Linked DNA regions of Drosophila melanogaster. The protein of the gene in region 2 interacts with the protein of the main gene of each other region in a pairwise test. Each region holds a gene or a part of one and is shown on either strand. Other genes may lie near its edges.

Evidence for each region.
Region 1: the proteins of CG10147 (region 2) and CG3735 interact in a two-hybrid assay, tested with the Drosophila melanogaster proteins (one large-scale study listed by BioGRID).

Annotation. Positions count from the first base shown.
Region 1 is NT_033778.4:23,936,391-23,941,865, forward strand, and holds CG3735 (uncharacterized protein), read right to left. Parts: upstream 3,365-5,475; 5' UTR 3,293-3,364; coding exon 3,031-3,292; intron 2,974-3,030; coding exon 2,269-2,973; intron 2,214-2,268; coding exon 1,078-2,213; 3' UTR 687-1,077; downstream 1-686. Other genes in the region: Taldo (transaldolase), read left to right, coding at 4,040-4,136, 4,667-4,790, 4,850-5,475.
Region 2 is NT_037436.4:6,485,525-6,490,439, forward strand, and holds CG10147 (uncharacterized protein), read right to left. Parts: upstream 2,901-4,915; 5' UTR 2,818-2,900; coding exon 2,332-2,817; intron 2,272-2,331; coding exon 1,411-2,271; 3' UTR 643-1,410; downstream 1-642. Other genes in the region: bulli, read left to right, coding at 3,237-3,344, 3,406-3,889, 3,946-4,338, 4,394-4,652, 4,715-4,915.

The DNA.
Region 1 (5,475 bases), on a different chromosome or scaffold from region 2:
AGTTATCCATAGCTGCTGCCCTTTGAATATTTTACTTGTCCTTGGCAAATACAACAGATCCCAAATCCCAGCCCAAATACTCATTTCCTCAATCTAGTTGATCTCGATCCATTAACAGCTGAAAGAGCATCCACCAGTCGGCCTGCGAACCCCTAGTTCTTCGTTTGGCTTTTCTGCCTTTTTCCCCAATTTCAGCAGAGACTGGCAGCCGTCGACTATTTTTATTTATAGGCTTGTAATGCCCCTACGGACTCGGACTCTCAGATATTGGCAAGAGCGCTCTCCGCACACGTTTCTGCCGTATGATATCCGCCATCAGCCATCCGCCTTGTGCAGCAGCTATTACGACTTTTCACAGAGACCCCCATAAATATGCATTTGGCTACTATTTTACCTCTATATGTCTAGGCCAGAACTTTTATAAGCTACCTATGTGTATATTTAAAAATGTTGATAAATGACAATGCAGCCAGGAATTTTGATTTATTTTGGGACTGGCAAATCTGGGTTTGATGCGGTTGTCAACCGCTGGATATTGTCTATTTAGGAACTCGGTATATGGTAATGGTTCCAGATTCCAGCAATCTCAAGCAATCAAGCGAAGTGATCATTTAAAAACAAATACAAACTGCAAAATAATGTTTTTTAACACTTAATTGCCTTATAAATGATAACTTTTATTGCATAATGCTCTGGCCAATCTTCCTTTATAAAAAAGGGATATTAAAGTAAAAACAGGCAAAATATATTGAATTCAAATGCATTTTGAATCATTTCATCAATCGGCAAAACACTACTTATGCTGCCTCTTATTACACAACCATTTGCCAATTATTCATTTTTTCATAATTTCAAATTGCGTAATAACAAAGAGAAGACATCGCCACCCTTAACATCAGATCAATCACCTAGCCAGTTCCTCCTAAAATCTCTACGTCACGAAAGTATTTAGGTCCAAAAATAGAGCCACAACTGAAAGTTATCACATACATTACTATTTACTTGCGTTAACATTTAGTATATTCTAATTGACAACTAAATATGTACATATTTCAAAGTCAGCTCTCGTGTAAGCATTTACGTTTTGGTGGAGAAAAGGTAGGAATCCTTTTGACCAGAAGTCAATTTCGCAGCATTCTCACTGCCCACAATGTTACTCAAGCTTAGCAGATCGTACTTTGTGTACAGGATACTGACGGACATTTCGTCCCCAAATCCATCGCGCGGATTTTGATTTGTCTTCAGCATCAGATTGATGATCTCGGAATAGAAGTGCGGAAAGTTGGGCGGCTGGTACATGATCAAGTTCCGGATGCCCTTAATCCGCGTGCGCCGGAAGAAGTGCGCTCTTTCCGAGTACAACAGAACAGATGCCCCGCTGTGGAAGAATATATCTCTCGCCCGGGAAATCTTTTCTTTCTTGGTGTACTCATTTATCTGCACAAAACTGACCATTTCGGTCTTGAAATGGTTGCGTATCCGTACGTAGTCAAAGTAGCTGGGCACGTATAGCATACAGTGCGAGAAACCGGGCTTACTGAATTGGGGCATAATATTCTTGACGAAGTACTGGAACCGATCGTCGAAGGTCGTCTCCACACTGGAGCAATTGATTAGGCGGAAAACCTGATGTATTGGAGTCAGAACGTTCCGGATGTCTCCGTGCTCGACGAGGTTCGAGTCTCGCACCTTTCCCTGGTAGTTGTTGCACTTGCTGTTGAACACTGCCCGGAACTCGGGCAGCTCGTGGGACGAGAAGAACAGGGTTTGGCGGTAGAAACTTGACGCTCCACTCAGGCACCACGTTCGTACCCTCTGGCAATTCGTATCGGGCAGCTTCTGCGGCTGCAGGTGCAGGTGGTCCAGGGAGTGCAGCAGGTTCTCCCAGTTCTGCGCCAGGAACAATTCGGCTTGGTCGATTATCAGCAGTTCAATGGAGTTCAAAAAGTCAAAATCGCTCTCCTTGTCCGTAACCAGCATTCTCAGTCCCAAGGGAGACGCGATCAACATGTCCGATGCGTTCATATCGGAGAATAGGGACATGGTTTTCTTTGTAAAACGAATACCTAGTTTGAAGTTGTCATCCGTGTTGCCACTGAATGTTTGCTCATAATCCATTGGCTTTGGGTTGGTTTTGGGGAAGTAAATCGTATTCCCGGAGTAATCTCCCAGGAAGCGTTCATAGTTCGCGATCGAGGTTTTCCTGGCCTGATCTGTGAAGGACATTTAATGGTAATACAGGTTCTTTGCTATCAACGGGTGACTTACCATCTTGACTGCCAAAGAGTAGATCTCCGAGTATATTTACAATCCTTAGAGCCGATTCCCTGAAGGGCACTACAAAAACGACCTTCATCCGCTTAAGCCCTTGGTCCCTGAAGCTCTCTGGTATAGAGATTTCGTTGGGCGACATTTTTTGTGACTTGGCCAAAGCCGAAACCTTTTCGTTGTTGCGCAATATCAGTGATCTGACTTTCAGCATGTGGTTCAGGGCGTGCAGGCAGTATACATAGCGAATATCCTCGGCATTGCCATGAGTTCGATGGGGATAGTATATATCTTGGTAGTTATTGGCGATGTAGAAGAGCTGGGACTGCAGGGCAGTGAGTGGCAGTTTGGCGTTTGCACAAATGGACGCCTTCACCTCCAACTTTTGCAGATCTTCCGTGCTTGCAATGTCCTTGGGCTCGCTGCAGTCGGGCTCCTTGAAGTCCTCAGTCAGTCGTGGTATATCGAACCTTACATTCCCCAGAGCGGACCAGTTCCTCTTGATTGTTTTAACATCCTTTCTCGCAATCAAATCGTTGATATTATCCGTAGATAGCTCAAAATCGAAGCGTTTCGAAAACGAATTGTATATTTCCAAGTCGACACCTAACTGCTCGGAACGCTTTTCCTTTTTGGGTTTGATCTTCCTGGGCACGGGAATAACGTGATCCTCTTCCTTCTCTGCTTTTGAGCGTAGGATGTCACCTGGAAACGATATTCTTAGTTAGTCATGGGCACATTTTTGTCCATTGCAAGGGCTACTTGTGGGTATGTTATTAACACCAGTTATGAGCTTTTTATAGAACTCAGTCTCGTCCACATCATCCTGGATCTCCGGCAACAGCTCCGCCACGGGCTCATATTCCTGTTTCGGTGCTGTGGGCATTCGTTCCCTGCGGTGGGACTCCTCCATTTGCTTGCTCCTCTGGATGAAACTGTAGTTCTTCGAGAATCTCTCATTTCGCCGGGCGGGCGTTGGTTTCTTGTAGGGCTTCGCCCTGTTCTTCGAGTGTTTTTGTTTCATTTTAAACTGTTTGTTACCGAGTATCTTTCGCACACACGTGTGGATCAACAAACATCTGGATTGGTGAAGGAATCCGATACACAGACATATCGATAGCTCCTAGAGATGGCGTGTGGTGAATTTAAAGCCGGTAAAGCTAATTCATTTGAAATTTATAATCTAAGCCATGTTTTTTTAGGAAATCACATAAATTTGCTATGAAACCCCAGTAGGTGACCAACGATGAATTGATTTCTGGCATATAAATATCAAAAAATTGTCTAAGATATGACTTTTGAAGCGGTCAAATATGGTGATTTTCCGATTTGAAGTACTGGGCGAACTGAAATCTCAGTAGGTGACCAGCCTAGTCCAAGTAAAATCAATATCATTGCACTAGAAAAATCATCTAAAAAAAATGCATACTTTTAAAATTATCGTTAGTTTACGAAAATTTTCTTCCGACCCAAAATGTTCAGCGCTTTCTGTACAAGAACGAAAGTATGCACTTATTTATTCGTCCAATTACAAGTAGATGGTTATTTATATTTAACAAGCTATTCACCTAAGATTAGCTTGAATACCTTATCATCACAGTTAAAGATTAATGTTAGGGAGCTAGTTTAAGTCTGCTTAATTGTCAGGAATCCCCCTGATGGCCCCTTATATCGATTCCTAAACCCAAGTTGGGGCTGTTCAGTATTTTTCCAGAGCCGGGCGGTATAAATTGCCGCTCCAGTGGCGGTCTTATTGCATTGAAGTTGGGCAATGGGAAGTGATCGCACGTTAAAAAAGCAAAAGATGTCGGTATTACAGGAACTCAAGAAAATCACCACAATTGTGGCTGACACCGGCGACTTTGAAGGTAAGTACGCACGCAAGGTATTTTTCTTAACAAGATGAGTCCGATTTCAAAGCTAGCGTAAGTTTGCCTCAAAAGTGGGAATCCAGAAATGCAACTAAAGCGAAATGCGAGTCTGAGCTCGAACATCCATACATATATAGAGCATACATAGAATCCGAGTCCAAAGATACATAGGATACATGGATTTATCCAAAAGATAAACATTAACGACGGGCCATCGGATCCGTCGTGTCTGCCGCAGTGAAGATCAAATAAAAGTGAAAAGCAAATCCGAGCTGACTTTAGTTTGACCTTTGGTGCTTACGTGTGTTAGAAATGTGACCGCTATAGTAAAGTGTACTATAGAATGCCACCAGAGATAAGGTTTCGGAGCAGAGTGCCAAACCTGCTCAGACATTTGAAAAGTTCAAAGATATTTTCGGTCGGGCGATTGAAAAATGAAAGTCGCTCAACAGGTTTCGAGGTCTTTCTAAAATTCGCAATGTAATTTGGCCCCGCACTTATGCAAATACTTTACACATTGCTTCCAGCCATCAACATCTATAAGCCCACGGATGCCACCACTAATCCCTCCCTCATCTTGTCCGCTTCGTCCATGGAGCGGTACCAGCCGCTGGTCCAAAAGGCGGTGGAATACGCCAAGGGCAAGAAGGGGTAAGCAGTTCACTTGGGTGTTTGCCACACAAAGCTACATAGAATACCATCGTTTGCAGCTCCGTGAGTGAGCAGGTGGCCGAGGCCATGGACTACCTGTGCGTGCTGTTCGGAACGGAAATCCTGAAGGTTGTGCCCGGTCGCGTTTCCACCGAGATCGATGCCCGCTTGTCCTTCGACACCAAGAAGAGCGTGGAGAAGGCCCTGAAGCTGATCGCCCTGTACAAATCCCTGGGCGTCGACAAGGAGCGAATTCTGATCAAGCTGGCGTCCACCTGGGAGGGCATCAAGGCGGCCGAGATCCTGGAGAACGAGCACGGTGTGCACTGCAACCTGACGCTCCTTTTCTCGTTCGCACAGGCCGTGGCTTGCGCCGAGGCCGGCGTGACCCTCATCTCCCCGTTCGTGGGCCGCATCCTGGACTGGTACGTGGCCAACACGGATACCAAGAAGTTCGAGGCGCTCAAGGACCCGGGCGTGATCTCCGTGACGAACATCTACAACTACTACAAGAAGTTCGGCTACAAGACCCTGGTCATGGGCGCCTCCTTCCGTAACGTGGGCGAAATCAAGGCCCTGGCTGGCTGCGATCTGCTTACCATCAGCCCAGCGCTGCTTAAGGAGCTGGAGAACGAGACCGAGTCGGTGGTCACCTACCTGTCCGTAAGCAACGCCAAGCTGCAGG
Region 2 (4,915 bases):
GAAACGATATATACATACGAATACAACATATTTATACACTCAATATTTACAGCAGCCGAAAAAAGAAAACGCATTTAGCTCACCAACATATATAACTATACAAATATATATCTATAACAATAACTGAAGAATCATATTTACAACGATTTTAATGCAACAGATTTCACCATATTTACCGGGGGAAATGATCGTGGCACGTCATATCATTTACCACACCATTATACATATGTATGCAAAGCTATCTATATACTATACCATATACAATAAACAGACTCACGACCTTTAGCAGATGTACTTTAGTTTTTAGTGGTCCGCGGCAGGAAGCGAATCCTCTGCCGATTTATTTAGTAACACACACACACACACACACAATTCCTGTACATTATTGTTTTAGTTGAAAATATAATTAAACAATTATTGATATTTACATTCTGAATCCCAAAAGGAAATGGTTCTTTATTGGAGTATTTATTTGTCGATACAGTAAGTACAATAGTACTCTTAAAGTATATAATTTCATTTTTAACCGAGTAAAAGGTTTTAGTTCATAAAAAATAGGTAATAAGAAAACAATTTTATAAATTCAACAAACTTAAAGTTTAAGAAACAAACAGAACGAAACAAAAAACTATAACTACACTTCATAAAAGAATATGCACTTTACCCTTTACTTCCTGATTTGGATAACTTGGCATATTCTCAAACGTGAATAACTTAAACCAAAGTTTATTGCAAAACTCCCCGTATCCTTATACTTCCTGATTTATTGTCAGTATTCGAAGTTATTGTCGTTTACTTAAAGTGTAAGTTGCAAATGTGACTATAATACTAAACGTCTTTTACCCTAATCTTCCTGATATTTTCGTTGTTAAGGGTAAATTGACATACATAAATGGTAAGAAACTAAAAGTGCAGTTTCTTTAAAATAATTCACTTTACCCTACACTTCCTGATTAGTGTTATTAAGGGTTATTGTCTCCATTCATAATCTCTTCTTGTTTTGTTAACATTATTTGGGGTTATCGTCATATACTTGTACCTTCCACCTTCTGATTTATTGTCATTAACTTATACCCTACACCATAAGATTTATTGTCGTTATTGCGGGTTGTTGTCATATTAATTAGTTTCTTGATAAGATAGAAAAACTACAGCTTATTAATTAATGCCATTTACCCTAAACTTCCTGATTTGTTAACGTTATTAAGGGTAAAATGGCATGTATTTGTGCCATTAGAAACTAAGACTAGTTTATTAAAAATTGCCTCTTCCCTGCTCTTCTAATTCGTTATCGTAATAAATCCCTCAATAAAGGAGGTATGTAAATATTAATTAAGTTGTGAGTCAAGTAAAATACGATATGAATGTTGTACTTTCCACTGAACCTAAAATAGAAATATGTTAACTTCTTTAACCCATGCTAGTCAGTTGCAGCAGAGCACAAGCGGTCTGCTGATTATCCCCCGATTCGTGGACCTTGCGATGGGTGCGCAAGGCAGAGGGTTGTATAAATTTCTTGCCGCAAACGTGACACTCAAAGTTCTTTTCGCCAGTGTGGGTCATTTCGTGATATTTTCGCGTGTCGGTGGTGGCAAATTTCTTTTCGCAATAGCTGCAGGCATAATCTCGTGCCTTCTCGTGGATTGCGCGGATATGTTTCTTAAGACTCGTTGAGCTGTTGCAAACTTTGGGGCAATCCTTGCAGGACCAGGTCCTTTCCAGAGTATGATAGTTGATATGCAGTCGCAGTTCGTTTTTGGTCGTCTTCTTGAGACCACAGTAGGGGCAACTAAAGTTCTTTATGCCCTGGTGACGCATCATGTGGATCTTGAGTTTCTCCGTGCTATAGAATCGCATAGAACATTCCGGCAGTTCGCAGGCATATGGCAATACCAGCTGGTCACCGTGTGTGAACCGATGCTGGCTTAGGGCAGAGCCAGTCTTGAACACCCGACCACAGAACTCGCACATATGGGTCTTCAAAGGCTTGCCAATGTCGTGAGCCTTGCTTTGGTGGTATTTCAGCGAGGCCTTGTGCCGGTACATCCTGTTGCAGCCCTCCTCCTCGCAGACAAACCGCATGCCCACTTCCGAGTGCTCTAGCTCGTGCTGCCTGAGGTTCTCGAATCGGTTGAAAGCTTCCTCGCATCCGGGCTCAGTGCAATGATACAGCATGTGTCCCTGGTGTTCCTTCTTGTGCAGAATCAAGCGTTTCTCCTCTCGAAACTCGTCGGCGCACAAGTCGCACTTGTATGTGGTCAATGGCGGCTCCTGAAATCATTGAATACAACTTAACTTACACTCCTGTTTAAACCTTAAACCCAAACTCACTTCCAAAGCTTTCTTTTCCGTTTCCGGGGGTTGCTGGACATTTTCGGTGAAGGTATGGAATACCAAGGTTGGCGGTGCCTGTTCAGCGACTATTGGGGTATTTTGTGCACTCAAATTGGTATCACATATAATCATCTCCGGCGGCTCCAATAGAAGTTCTTCCAGCTCCAGCTCCTCTTCCTCATCTTCATCGACCTCGTAAACAGGTTTCCTGCGATCTATTTTCTTCCAAGTTACCAGACTTTTAGAACGCCACTTATTGTCGGCTATAATGCAAAGTGCTCGGAAGGAGTGGAACTTCTCCAGAAGCTCGTAGCACTCCGAGCAAATTTCGCTGGGCAAAATATCCTGGTCATCAGGATCCACCACCAAATTTGTGCACTCCGAAAATTTGACGGCGAGATATGGATGGTGCAGCAAATTGTAGGCCTCGTCGTCTCTAGCCACATCGCTGGAGCATACGCGGCATTTGTCCAGGTGTCCCATTAAGTGGTTGAATCAAAGTTATTGAGACCTTTTTTTAAATTCACAAGAAAAAATATTTTTCTGTGTCCTGTCTGCCGTTTTTTCTTATCGCTGTTGTTTGTATACTAAACAGCTGATAGGGCTGGCAAAAATACCGCTGATAGCAATAGTGATGGCAAATAATAGCGTGAGTTGGAAGGGGTTAAATAAATATAGTATAAATGTTTAAAAATATCTACTGTAAGCATACCACAAATAATGTTAAATACATTTATATTTTTAATCCTTGCACGTACAATAAATGAAATTAATCGTGACTTAAAACAGCTTGTTACTCGTGGCACATCTCTAGCACCCTGTGCTAAAGTCACATCTCTAATGGGGGGTGTATAAAAAGTTGTGCTGTTGCAGTTTGTTATTTATTTTTTTCCAGCACAACAATGGATAATTCCAATGGAATCCACTACATTGAGCTAACCCCAAATCCCATACGATTTGATGCTGTCAGCCAACTAACCAATGTGTTTTTCGATGACTCCAACAAGCAGGTATAGTTAAAACATGTTAAAAATCCATGTTGATGATGGCTAAAAATCTATATCTGTAAAGATATTTGCTGTTCGGTCTGGAGGAGCTACTGGTGTGGTGGTCAAAGGTCCTGGATCTCCCGACGATGTCGTCATCTCCTTTTGCATGAGCGACCGTGGCGGTGCCATAAGGTCCATTAAGTTCTCGCCGGACAACCAAATCTTGGCCGTTCAGCGAAAGGAGAATTCCGTGGAGTTCATATGTTTTCAGGGAGATCAGCCTCTGCTGCAGGACATCATTACCCACCAGGTGAAGACTCTGATCCATGGCTTTGTTTGGGTCCACAATCGAGAGGTGGCCCTGATTTCGAATACCGGCGTGGAGGTCTACACCGTAGTTCCTGAGAAGCGACAGGTGCGCTCTGTGAAATCCCTGAGCATTGGCATCAAGTGGTTCGCCTGGTGCTGCGATGCCAATGTGGCTCTACTGTGCACCAGCGAAGGAAACTCCCTGATTCCGGTGCTGGTCAAGCAGAAAGTAATCACCAAGCTGCCCAAAGTGGACTGTAAGTAATCCTTTTGGGTTAAAATCCTTTAAAAGCGTTTTAATCTTTCCTTTCAGTGGGCAATCCAAGTCGCGATGTCCAGGAGAGCAAGGTCACCTTAGGCCAAGTTTACGGCGTGCTGGCTGTGCTTATCCTCCAGTCAAATAGCACCACCGGACTGATGGAAGTCGAGGTGCACTTGCTCAATGGACCGGGCTTGGCTCCACGCAAGTGCCATGTGCTCCGCTTAAGTCTGCTTGGTCGCTTCGCCATCAACACGGTGGATAATCTGATTGTGGTGCACCATCAAGCTTCGGGCACTTCGCTGCTATTCGACATCTCCCTGCCCGGAGAGGTGATCAATGAAATAACCTATCATACACCCATAACTCCAGGGCGCTCCATCAAACCGTTTGGCCTGAAACTGCCCTCACTTTCGCCTGATGGACAAATCTTGCAGTGCGAGTTGTGTAAGTTCTTTAAATATCCAAAAAGTTACTTTATTTGACACTTATACCCATGCAGATTCCACGCACTGGGTACTGTTCCAGCCAAATATTGTAATCGATGCCAAGTTGGGTTGCATGTGGTTTTTGAACCTCTGCATTGAACCATTGTGCCAACTGATTTCGGATCGCATTCGACTTACAGAATTCCTGCTGCAACGCAGCAATGGCAAGCAGATGCTATTAAAAGTCATTGGACAATTGGTAGATGATCAGTATAAGGGAACTCTATTGCCAGTCCTAGAGACCATCTTCAGTCGGATTAACAAGATCTATGCGTAAGTTAAAGACGTTATTTTCATCAATATATATTTATTACATTATGCATGGTATACTTTAGGTCTTGGGTCCAGTTGGAGCTGCAAAATCAAACCGCTCAACCGTCGAACGTAAAAACTACTACCCTGAAACAGAGCACACCGCCCATTGTGCTCATTGAGCAACTGGATATGGTGCAAATCTTTCAGCGCATAGCTCGTCGCCCGTACACGGAATCCATATTGATGCTCTACCTGCAATCCCTGAACAAGTTCAACATTGC